Caenorhabditis elegans: one gene and its partner. The protein of the gene in region 1 purifies or fractionates together with the protein of each later gene. This does not show direct contact. Each region holds a gene or a part of one and is shown in the gene's direction. Other genes may lie near its edges.

Region 1 (7,401 bases):
AACAAATGATCAAAGTGGTAAATCGGTGAGTTTTAAAATCTCCTTTTCTAAAAAGGAATCTTTTTTTAAGAAGAATTATAAAAGTTGAACATATACCTTTTTTTCTTTGTTAAAATTGAATACTCAAATTTTCTGAATAATCCGACTGAATATGGAATAAAAGGAGGCGTCACTGCAATAAGAAGAAATGCGGTCAAATATTTGATTAAAACCTCGGGTAGAAAATCAAATATTTTGAACATTTTCGACAAAACTAAAATATCTTCTCGCGGAAATCCGAAATGGTGGATCAGATTCGATCGCCCTCATGGAAAAGTGGATTTCCATCACATCAACATCAACAAGGCAGTTACTGGACTCAAGGATCCACATCTTCCTATCTCTCCACTGCCAAAACTGCTGGAGTTCTTGGAGATGTTGCTGAGAAAGCAAATAAAATTGCTCCAATTTTGACGACTGCCGCTGTGATTTACGAAATGTATCAAGTTGGAAAAGAGGTTAAGAAGGATTATCATCACGGAACCACACGAAATACTATAAAAACAGTGGCAACCACGGCGACAACTTATGCAAGTGCATCTGCTGCAGCATTGGCCGGTAAGTGTTGTAATTTTAAAAGATTCAGTAGAATTTTTTACAAAAACTTTATTACAGGAAGTTCCATCGGATCGGCAATCTTTCCTGGTATTGGAACGATTTTCGGAGGAATCATTGGTGGAATTGCCGGGGGATTATTCGGTGGACATGTTGCCGAGACAGCTTCAGAACAAATTCTAACTCACGTGAAATATGATGTCACAACGTTAACCTGTAAAGAATGTGGAAAAGATTATGATTGGAAGAAGTACGAAGAAGCACAAGGAGTTTGTAGCTGCCAACTTCAAATTGTTCTGAGCAACGACGCTGCTACCAAATTATGTGCAATTTTGGCGGAAAAGATTCAAAGTCCATCTCAAACTTCAAATTATGCATTTAATTCTTACCTTTGTTATTATTATCTTCACATTTTCGCGTGTCTCAACAAGATTTTGAATCATAAATAAATTATTTCTAGAAAACAAACACTCAAATTGAAATGGCAAGAAGTGCAGATGAAAATTCAAATGAGAGAAATAAAAAGAGAAAAAAGAAAAAGAAAGAAGATGAAGGGAACATGGTATGGAACAATTATTAACAATGCTCACAGAAACAATTTAGTTAACTCAAGATCCAGCTGGTGCAGCAGTTCACATATCATCAGCTGGAGCTCAAACAGCTGGAACAATTGGCGGAGAGGGTCTCACAACGATCGCGCAAGCTGCTCCAGTTTTACAAGTTGCTGCAGTTGAATACGATGCTTATCAAATTGGGAAAAACGTGGAAAAAGATAAAAGGAGAGGGACAAGTAGGAATACTGTTAAGAAAGTGACCACTACAGTAGCCACGTACGGTATTGGATTTGGTGGAGCACTTGCAGGTGTTCTTTCCATTTAAATCTGAAATTTTGAAGAAGCTGAATATTTTAAGGTGCTGCAATTGGAACTGCAATTTGTCCAGGAATTGGAACTATTGTTGGAGGGATTGTGGGTGGTATCACAGGTGGAGTTGGTGGTGGATATGGTAGTGGTAAAGCAGCAGAAGCTGTTATGGATCAAGCAGAATATGATTCGTACAGAACTACATGTGAAACATGTCAAAAACTATACAGATGTTCCAAATACATTGAAATACAGATGTTCCAAATACATTGAAATTTATTAAAATTTGCTACACTGAAAACCTTTATTCAAATCTCCGCCATTAAAACATTTTCAATTTCGATAGAGCGCACTTGCATTAAACTCATTTTACTGAATTTTTCGCTCATTTTTCATATTATTTTTCTTTCTGAATTTGTTTATAACCACGCTTCGAGCCAGAAAATGTTATTTTTTCATTATTACAGAATTTAAAAACATGGGAAAACGCAAAACAAAAGAAGATAATGCTTCGGAAGACTACGACGCGAACGAGTTGATGATTGTGCCGGGTATTTAATCGAAAATTAATTTATCGCTTACATTTACTTTCAGGCGAGAAGCGTAAGAAATTGGAAAAATCTGGAGAAAAATCTGCAACTGGTGGAAAGAAGAATAGAAATTTCGCGAAAGAAAAAGAGGTTGCCAAGCTGACGAAGCAGGCGAAACGAAAACTTGCGGCGGTTCAGTCAAGGAAAGCGCTGAAGCAAACGGTTAGTGAATTATTTTTGTATTTGAAGTATTCAAAAAAAAAACTATAATTTTCCAATTTACAGCAAGAAGAACTATTCGCAGGACTTGCTGAATTTCAACTAGATCCTTCTAAGCTCTGCCAACTAAGTTCCAGCACAAAACTTTCTAAAGAGCCAGAAAAGTACGATATTTTTCTATCACATAAAAAAAGCAAAATTCAATTTTCAGAGCTCCCGTATTTCCAGAAAAATTAAAAGTTTTCTCTGGCAAAACTAAAACTGAAGCTAAACGAACTCAGCAAGATTATTATCCAACTGATGATGAATCATCTTCTGAAGAAGAAGAAGAAGAAGAAGAAGGCGATAATGATATTGAAGATGCCGGAAATACAGTTGAAGTTAAAATTGAACCAATTGACTTGGATGATGTTGATGAGGCAATTGATGGAAATCCAGAAACTAATTTAGATCAGATTGTAGTAAAACGGGAAGATGATGAAGAGTCTGATAATGAGGATATTTTGGCGGTTAGTTAATAAAATGAAATAAAATGAAAATAAAATGAAATAGGAAGATTGTCTATTTTTTCAGCTCCCAACTACGACAGTCATTAATCGAAAGAAAGTTATTGTTGAGAGAAGCAAAGAAATTCAAAAATCCCGTGCCGAACTTCCAATTTTTGCCGAAGAAATGCGAATTGTCGAAGCTATCAATGAGAATTTGGTGACAGTAGTCTGCGGAGAGACTGGATCCGGAAAGACCACCCAAATTCCACAATTCCTTTACGAAGCTGGATATGCATCAGAAGGCGAACTCATTGGAATCACCGAACCTCGACGTGTCGCAGCAATTGCAATGGCTCAGAGAGTTGGAGTTGAATTGGCAAAGCCCGACGAAGTTTCCTATCAAATCAGATATGAAGGAACTCGATCAGAAACAACAAATATTTTATTCATGACGGATGGAGTGTTGATGAAGGAAATGGAACAGGATGTCATGCTGAAAAAGTTTGATTTTTAATTTTGAAAAAATCTCCATTCAGATTTCTCGCTGAACATTAAACGTTCATTATTTTCCAGATACTCTGTAATTCTCATCGATGAAGCCCACGAACGCTCAATGTACAGTGACGTGTTAATCGGTATGCTGTCAAGAATTGTTCCACTTCGTTCCAAAACCGCCCGTCCGTTGAGATTAGTAATCATGTCTGCAACACTGAGACTTGATGATTTCACGCATAAAAAGTGAGATTCTGAAGCGAATTCCAATTAAACTTTATTCAAAATTTAGGCTCTTCCCTCTTTTAACTCCAAAAGTTATCAAAGTTGACGCCCGACAATTCCCTGTCTCCGTACATTTCGAAAAACGAACTCCCGATGATTATATTGCATCTGCATTCCGAAAAACGTGTCGAATTCATGAAACTCTACCACCGGGTGCCATTCTAGTCTTTGTTACAGGACAACATGAAGTTAAACAGCTGATTACAAAGCTGAAAAAACGATATCCGGTGGTTTATGAGACTGATAAAAACGGAGAGGTTCTAGTTAAAGGAACCAAAGAATGGAAGGAAAAGAAGGTAGAAGCTGCCAAAAGTATCAAGTTAGAAGATTTTAAAGAAGAAACACCGGAAACTGAAGATTTTGAAGATGTAGATGATGGATTAATGGATGGAGATGATATGAATGAAAGAGGTGCTGCTGAGGCGTTTGATGATTATGAAGAATTTGAGAATGGGGATGGAGATTTATCCGATGGAAAAGTTGAGGTAATTTTTAGAAAAGTATAGAATTTTAATCCAAAAATTTATATTTTAGAACTCGATTGGAGCTCCACCTGCTGACTGTGAACCACTTTACTGCTTACCTTTGTACTCATTACTCTCAATGGGAAAACAGAGAAGAGTGTTTGATGAAACTCCGGCTGGAATGCGTCTTTGCGTTATTTCTACAAATGTTGCTGAAACTTCATTGACTATTCCAGGCGTGAAGTAAGAGATAAATAATTTATAGAATAAAAAAGCTAATTTCCAGATACGTTATTGACGGAGGTTTCGAGAAGCGTCGTCTCTACGATTCAATCACCGGAGTGTCACGTTTTGCAGTTTGTCGAATTTCTCAAGCATCTGGTGATCAGCGAGCGGGACGTGCTGGAAGAATCTCTGCAGGACACGCCTATCGTCTCTACTCTTCAGCTGTATACCAAGATTTTGTGAAATTCGCAGATCCTGAGATTCTCTCGAAGCCTGCCGATCAGCTAGTACTCCATCTAAAATCGATGAATATTGTTAAAGTTGTCAATTTTCCATTCCCATCAGCTCCTGATGAGCAAATGTTGGAATCGGCTGAGAAGCGTCTGTGCCGACTTGGAGCACTTTCTGAGAGCACGAAAAATGGAAAAACGGAAGCAAGAATCACGAAACTCGGAAAAACATTGGCAGTGTTCCCACTGGCACCGTCTTATGCAAAATTCATTGCTATGGCCGATCAGCATAATTTGATGAGTCATGCGATTCTTCTAATTTCATTACTATCAGGTTAGATTTATTTTTAATATTTTAAGTGTTAATTTATAATATTTGTATCATATGCATTTTTCAGTTCGTGAGCCCCTAATCCCAGTATCATCCCTCCGTGGCGACACGCCAGAAGAAACAAAAGAATTGATGAAGAATGTTCTGAAAGAAAGAAGAAGATGGTGTTCACATACTGGTGCCAGACGATTAGGTGATCTAAAAGTTCTCATGCATGCAGCTAGCGTTGCCGAGCAGATAAAGGTACATCTGGATGTGCAAACATATTAATTTTCACTATTTTTCTAATATTGCGAAATATCCCGTAACATTGTGATCATTTCAGTATAACGCCCGTGAGTGCGAAAAAGTCGGTCTCCGAGTGAAAGCACTGGTTGAAGCAAGAAAACTACGTCAGCAACTCACAAATATTGTTAATGCTTCTTGTAAAAAAGAACATGCGGCTGCGTTGGATTCAGATCTGCCGCCACCAACTGATCAACAGGCACAGCTTCTCAGGTATTTACTTTTTTAAAATTAAACATTGAGAAAAGTGCCCACTATAGAAAACAACTTTATGAATTTCAGACAAATGGTTGTTGCAAGTTTTTCTGATCGCCTGGCTCGTCGCGTCGATCGTTCTGTCGGACAAGAAGAAGTTCAAAAAGGTGCATACGAGACGACATTAATCAAGGGACACGTTTTCATTGATCCATGCTCAGTCGTATTCACAGAAGAACCAGAATTTGTGATCTATCAAGAATTGGTTCAAGTAAATGAGAAGAAGCTGATGACGTCAGTGTGTGCAGTTGATAAAGAATGGCTCAGTAGATTGGCTGAATCATATTGCAATTATGGAGAACAGGACAAGAATCAGGAACCGATTTACGATCCAGTCAAAGATATGGTTGTGAAAACAGTGAAAGTGACATTTGGACCGTTGAATTGGGAATTGCCGAACGAAAATCGAAGTGTACCACATGATATCATGATGTATAGATATTTTGCACTATTCCTCCTCGATGGATTGGTTTTTGAAAAACTCAAAGAATATACTCCGAAGCTACTAGCACCGCCATCAACAATGGTCAAGTCTTGGGCAAAATTGCAGAAACGAACGGAGATGTTGTTGAATAAGTTAATCGAGAAGGAGGTAAGCAGTACAGAATTTCAGATCAAATATTTCAGCTTTTTCTTTCAAAAAACTGAAATTTAAAAAATATATAGAAAAATGTACAAAATGTCTACAGTTTTCAAATTTTTCTTTTACTCGACTGCTCGATTTTCTGCAAAAATAATTTCAAAATTTTCAAGCCATTTTTCTATTTTTTAAAAAATAATTTATTTATCGTCTGGGTTATATTTAATTTTCAATTTCAAAATGTTTGTCTTCTATGAAAAAAAAACGATTAAAAACCTTTTTGTAGATTCCTAAATCTTTCTAAAATTGAAAAATAAAAATAAATTCATTTTTTCTGAAAAAAAAAACACCAGAAAATCGAAAACAATTTTTTTTTTCGAAAACATTGTTTTTGTTTTTTAGATTTCCTTTTCCAGGTAACAACGCGATCATCACTGAAAGAGCAATGGTTGAAAAATGAGAATTGGTTGCTGGAAGAATATTTGGAATGGGTTCCAGAATCCGTGCATCAACAAATTTCCCTTATGTGGCCACCGCTTGAAGATCATGAAAAGACTATTAAAATGGGTAGAAACAAGAAATACTAAACAAATTCTCGTTTTTCTATCCTGAAAATATTATTTTTTTTTGTTTTTTTTTTTTCATTAGTATCTGAATTGTTATACATATTTTACTTGTTACTGTTGCTTTTGAACTTCTTTTTTTTTTTTGAAAAATATTTGCGTTGTTGTTTTTATTGTTTTAGTGAAAAAATATAAAAAGATCAATTAAACATTTTTTAAAGTTCCATTTGTTTTAAGTCGTCTTGGAAATTCGTTTCAAATACTTTCATTTTTTTCAATTTATTTATTAAACTCAATTTTTCAGTTATTCAAAAAATGCGTCTAGTAGAAATTGGAGCACTTTCTGCCGATTCGGATCTAGTTCTATGGGAAGCTAGTTGTGAAACAATTTCCCATCAAATATCTCTGAAATTAGCTCGAAAGGAAGGAGGTCTCATGGAAATATTCAACTCTGTTGTCGCATCACTACCAAGAAAATCGGATTCCTTCAGATTCTCGGCGATTTCATCGAAAACATCGTGGGAATCAGCTCACCGAAATTTACTAGAAAATTTGACGAAAACCGTGCCAGTTTTATTGGAAAATGGATGGAAAAAGAGTCCGGACTTTCAGAAAAATAGTCTTATTGATTTGTTCTCATTGTTGGAAGATGAAGATGCGACAAGAATTTTCAAAATGACACAAGAAAGTCGATCAATTACGGAAGATGATGTAGAAGATTATTTTTCTATGTTTGATAAGGTGAAAAACATAGTATTTTGGAGAAAATTATTTATTAAAACATATTTCCGCTTGTAAAAATGCTAAAAAAGTTTTAGTTTGTGGACAAATTTAGACTAAACGATTGCCGCTTTTTTTCGATGTGTTTACAGAGCAAATCATATAACTGAAATTTTCGGTTTTTTTTCGAAACTCGAAAAAATGTAAAAATGTACGAAATGAAATTTCCCTGAAATTTCCTAAAAATTTCGTTATAACTTTTTTGCAAAAAATGCAC
Region 2 (4,399 bases), 1.1 Mb from region 1:
TTATTCAACAAACAATCCGCAAAATCTACTCTCTTTGAAATTATAAGTACGTCAGTTAAATTCAAATGTTTTAAAATAACTATTATTCAAACCTCCGTCATCACTGAAACATGATTATTAACTAGGAAAGTAACACGATGGACAATAAATAACGACAGGGCAAAATGGGCGGGGCCTAGAGGGCAACGTTGTTTCATTGACTGCTTTCACACACATACACACACTAATCGATACAAATCATAAGGAACATACGGCCAACAATGCCATCTCCTCCTGCGTCACAGAAACCCACACTTCTTCTCTTTTGATCGAGGAATGAAAAAGTAGAAGAGACGACGCAAAAAAAATCGAAAACAACGACTCTTGGGGCGGTAGACAAAATGAACTATATGTGCTTGTTTTTGCATGAGACTCTTCACTAACTGTGTTCGTGGCGAGACCTGCGCGCGCGCGAAACTATGCGATTTGAAATTGTGGTACTGTAGAGTTAGCGAATGAAAATTTTTGAGAGGAAAACTACGGAGTATTTCGAAAAGAAGAAGAGAACAGTGAAAACGAAACTCTTTTTTAAAAAAAAAGCGAAGCAAGTTTTTTTTTTCAAAAAATGCATGTCGAATCTAAAACTACAATCAAATTATAATACACTTCCAATAGAAAAAAATTTGTATCGGCGATGGGTGATGGATCGTAGAAACAAAAAAAATACATTTTTTGAAAAAAAAAGGCGCCAAATCATCTTGTGTCGTGTATAAATGTGAATTGGGAGAGTAGGAGGCAAAGGCCTAGTGGGAGACAAAAAACAGAGAGCGTGACGAGCGAAGAGACGATGATCAACGAAGGTTATACATTGCAATCGGCCATCATTTAGCAAGTGAGCGCAAGTGAACGAGAGACGATAGATGAAGAAGCGAAGAATAGGCGCAGACGGAGTTGCAGCAGCATCCAAGTAGCCATTCAGGACCGGACGACCGCAACAGGAGGCAAGAGACATCATGCTCCGTACGGACGGTGCAGATAGACGAGATGGAAAAGTTAGAGACTGCTCTGATTTCAGAGAATAATGCACTACTACTACCCTATTTTTTTCTCAATGCCAACTTTTTTGCTCGATTCTATGTTTTTTTTTGTATATTCTTTTATAGACGGTTCGAGGAAGAAACTTTTTAAAAATTTGTAAAAACCTATAATTCCAAAAAATGATACACAATGAAACTAATTTATGTAAACGTATTAGCTCCGCCCATTTTATAGATGTGACTGACCTTGAAAGCGACTCCAATATTTTGAAAAATGGCGGGAAAAATATTTGAATGCTTTTTTGTACCCAGTACCGAGTGCCGCCATAATTTCAAGGACGCGTGTGACGTCACATTAAAAAAAATCTACTTATCTGTGAGCCCTGAAGAAATTTAAAAATGGAGGAGTGTGACATGTGACTTTGCTTTTAAAACAATTAGTCTCAGATTCACTATCAGAAACAACGAAAAAAAGTAGAGAAAGATTGAAAAATCCAACTTTTAAAAAACCGATTTTTTAAAAAGATTTCGGCGAATTGTTCGAATTCGCTTTAAAATGAGAACCGCAAAGCGAAAGTTGGATCTTTCTTGATTTTTTTGTGGAATTTCGAAATTTTAGATCATTTTGAGTCCATTACTAAAACTAAAAATTCACTTCTCAAATAAGAAAGTAATAAATATTAAACTTCATACATTAAAACTGCATCTGACACCGAACAACGCGCAATACAATTAAAGTGCATTAAAACTGTATTTGATACCTAAGAATGCGTAATATAGTGTAAACGGACCCTATTCGAGCTGATGATATTCATGAATCTTAAAATATAGAAATCACAAAGCCTCACACATTTTTAGAAAATAACGCATCAACACAAGAGCACATACGGCAAACAAACGATAAAGTGGCAAAGAGAGGGAGGAAAGAGAGCAACCCTTCGGAATTGACCTTTGTTAGACTCAATAAACCTACCAGATGCATCATAATTAGCAGATTACTAACGGAGCACGCGGATATGATGGAGAAATTAAAAATCGAAGATTGAAAATATAGTTAGGAAAGGAAAGGCTTTCTCGTTCAAATTCAAGTTATTATTTTAAAAATTCAGGCCTAAATTCAAATATTCGTTTGACCTTCTATCCTAAAAACTAATCCGGCTCCGAATAAACAGCTCGCTCGGCCTTCAAAATTTCAAGGACGCGTGTGACGTCACGATTTTCGAAAACATCGCTGTATAATTTTAATATCAACGGTGAGGCAAATTTAAAAGTAACGATCTAGTAACTGCCAATTTTCTATTGAAGAAAATAATTCTTGATAAAGAATCATTCGGAAAATCAATAAAAGAGAAAAAAAGTGGCGGCTTGTACTTGCTATAATGGCTGGACACCGTTCTACTCACGGAGAGACCCTCCTGTGCATACAATAAGCGATAGTTCACGAGTTGACTTAGTTTGTTGCGGTTTGATAACATATTGGCTAGCATTTACCTCGTTTAGCTATTTGAACAAACAAGAATTAGTTTTAAAGTACTAAATGGTTGAAGAATTCGAATTGCCGGGGGAAGTCAAAGCTTTGGATCGAAAGTTAAAGTCAATTTCAGAAAGTGCGTGAAGATTGCTGATTATTTCAGTAAATCCGATAATTAATCTAATTCATAATTAGAAAGAAATTAATTAAATCAAAAGAATCCATACGAAACGTCGAGAAAAATAAAAAGAAAATGAAAAAACAATTTTTAGAGGAAACAATTTCAAATTCTGCACTCTACACCACATTTGACGCACAATGCTCGTCCGGTGTGGTGTTTGCGTACCAAATTTCATTTCGAAAAATATGTTTATTTTTGAGGCTTTTTTTTGTGTTTTCAGGTTAATTTCTCTCGATTTTAAAGGGCAAAAGAATCAATTTTAGATTCCTATCGAACTTAATACTTTCCGTATATATTTGTTCACATAATTATTCAATTCCTTCCCATTGTTTCCTTTCGTTTTGTTCATTTCTCATTAGATTTTCATTTTCAGCTCAAAATGTCACTGGCCACTAAACTACGAAGAGTTCGAAAGTCTCCACCAGAGGGATGGGATTTGATCGAGCCCACACTAGAACAGTTCGAAGTGAGTCTTCTTTTAACTTCGGACAACTTTTTCAAAAATATATATTTCAGGCGAAAATGCGTGAAGCCGAAACAGAACCACACGAAGGAAAGCGAAAAACTGAAATTAACTGGCCGATTTTCAGGTATTAATAACCATTAATTGATTTAAATTTGTACCTTTTTCTTCAGAATTCATCACCAACGATCACGATACGTCTATGACATGTACTACAAGAAAGCTGAAATTTCCCGTGAATTGTACGAATTCTGCTTAACCGCCAAGTTCGCTGACGCAGCACTTATCGCGAAATGGAAGAAGCAAGGATACGAGAACCTGTGTTGCGTTAAATGTGTGAATACTCGAGACAGTAATTTCGGCACTGCGTGCATCTGTCGAGTTCCAAAAAGCAAACTTGATGCGGAGCGTGTTATCGAATGCGTTCATTGTGGATGTCATGGTTGCTCTGGATGATCTCTATTTTTATATACTCTCATATCAAGGTTTTGTGAATCCCCCGTTCCCTGAACTTTTTTATTTATTCTTTTTTTTTTCTTCTTAAAATACATAACGTTCTCACTGAAATTGAAATAAAGAATTGGAAGGCTGAATAACGATTCTTAAAATGATTTTTTTTAAAGTTTCTTGTCTTCTTTCATACTTTAAAAATCTGCTTCAACCGTTAATATCCCGATATAATTCACAGAATGGTGGAAGTTCCGTCTTTTCGGTCAAATGAACATTTCCCACAGCTCTGCGACAAAGTCACGGTCAAATGGGACAAAAAACGTGGAAGATTTGTAGAAGCAATCGAAGATATTCCTATTGGAACTGTTGTCTGTGTGGAAACGGGAATCACCGTGAACGTTGATCCACAAAATTGTTATCGATGTCTGAAAATAACCGAAAATGCGTCATTTGCGTAAGTAGCTCGTCGTGAAAATTGCAACTTAACATTTCTCTCCAGAAGCAAAATTTTGCAATTTATCGGTCTCGACACGACAAATTGTTGTGAAATTTGAAAATATATGCGCCGTCAAGTCTCAATATACTAAATATAACAGTTTCAATCAATTTTGGAAAAAAAATTGGCTCAATCCTTTTTGAATTTCCGCGCAAATTAATGATCTGGTGTTGATAATTTTTTTATTACAAATTTTTCAGACATCCTTTCGTAAAGAAACTTGGCAACCAGAAGGAGATTTGCTGAAATTCTAAAATTGCATTAAAACCGATAATTCATAATTTTTTTCGCGAAAAAAAGTGGAAAAAACATAAATTATTAT

What was found.
Region 2: the proteins of rha-2 (region 1) and bud-31 fractionate together in Caenorhabditis elegans (co-fractionation; one large-scale study listed by BioGRID). This does not show direct contact.

What each region holds. Positions count from the first base shown.
Region 1 is NC_003281.10:8,609,091-8,616,491, reverse strand, and holds rha-2 (Putative ATP-dependent RNA helicase rha-2), read left to right. Parts: upstream 1-1,922; 5' UTR 1,923-1,935; coding exon 1,936-2,008; intron 2,009-2,051; coding exon 2,052-2,209; intron 2,210-2,272; coding exon 2,273-2,370; intron 2,371-2,417; coding exon 2,418-2,715; intron 2,716-2,779; coding exon 2,780-3,195; intron 3,196-3,267; coding exon 3,268-3,432; intron 3,433-3,478; coding exon 3,479-3,956; intron 3,957-4,005; coding exon 4,006-4,178; intron 4,179-4,221; coding exon 4,222-4,724; intron 4,725-4,788; coding exon 4,789-4,964; intron 4,965-5,046; coding exon 5,047-5,219; intron 5,220-5,288; coding exon 5,289-5,853; intron 5,854-6,257; coding exon 6,258-6,428; 3' UTR 6,429-6,610; downstream 6,611-7,401. Other genes in the region: C06E1.11 (uncharacterized protein), read left to right, coding at 282-597, 655-1,043; C06E1.9 (ASCC2 family CUE domain-containing protein), read left to right, coding at 6,720-7,145. UniProt on the Caenorhabditis elegans protein: Probable ATP-binding RNA helicase.
Region 2 is NC_003281.10:9,693,993-9,698,391, reverse strand, and holds bud-31 (Protein BUD31 homolog), read left to right. Parts: upstream 1-1,874; 5' UTR 1,875-2,269; intron 2,270-3,041; 5' UTR 3,042-3,047; coding exon 3,048-3,134; intron 3,135-3,184; coding exon 3,185-3,258; intron 3,259-3,304; coding exon 3,305-3,587; 3' UTR 3,588-3,724; downstream 3,725-4,399. Other genes in the region: set-3 (SET domain-containing protein 3), read left to right, coding at 3,821-4,035. UniProt on the Caenorhabditis elegans protein: Involved in pre-mRNA splicing process.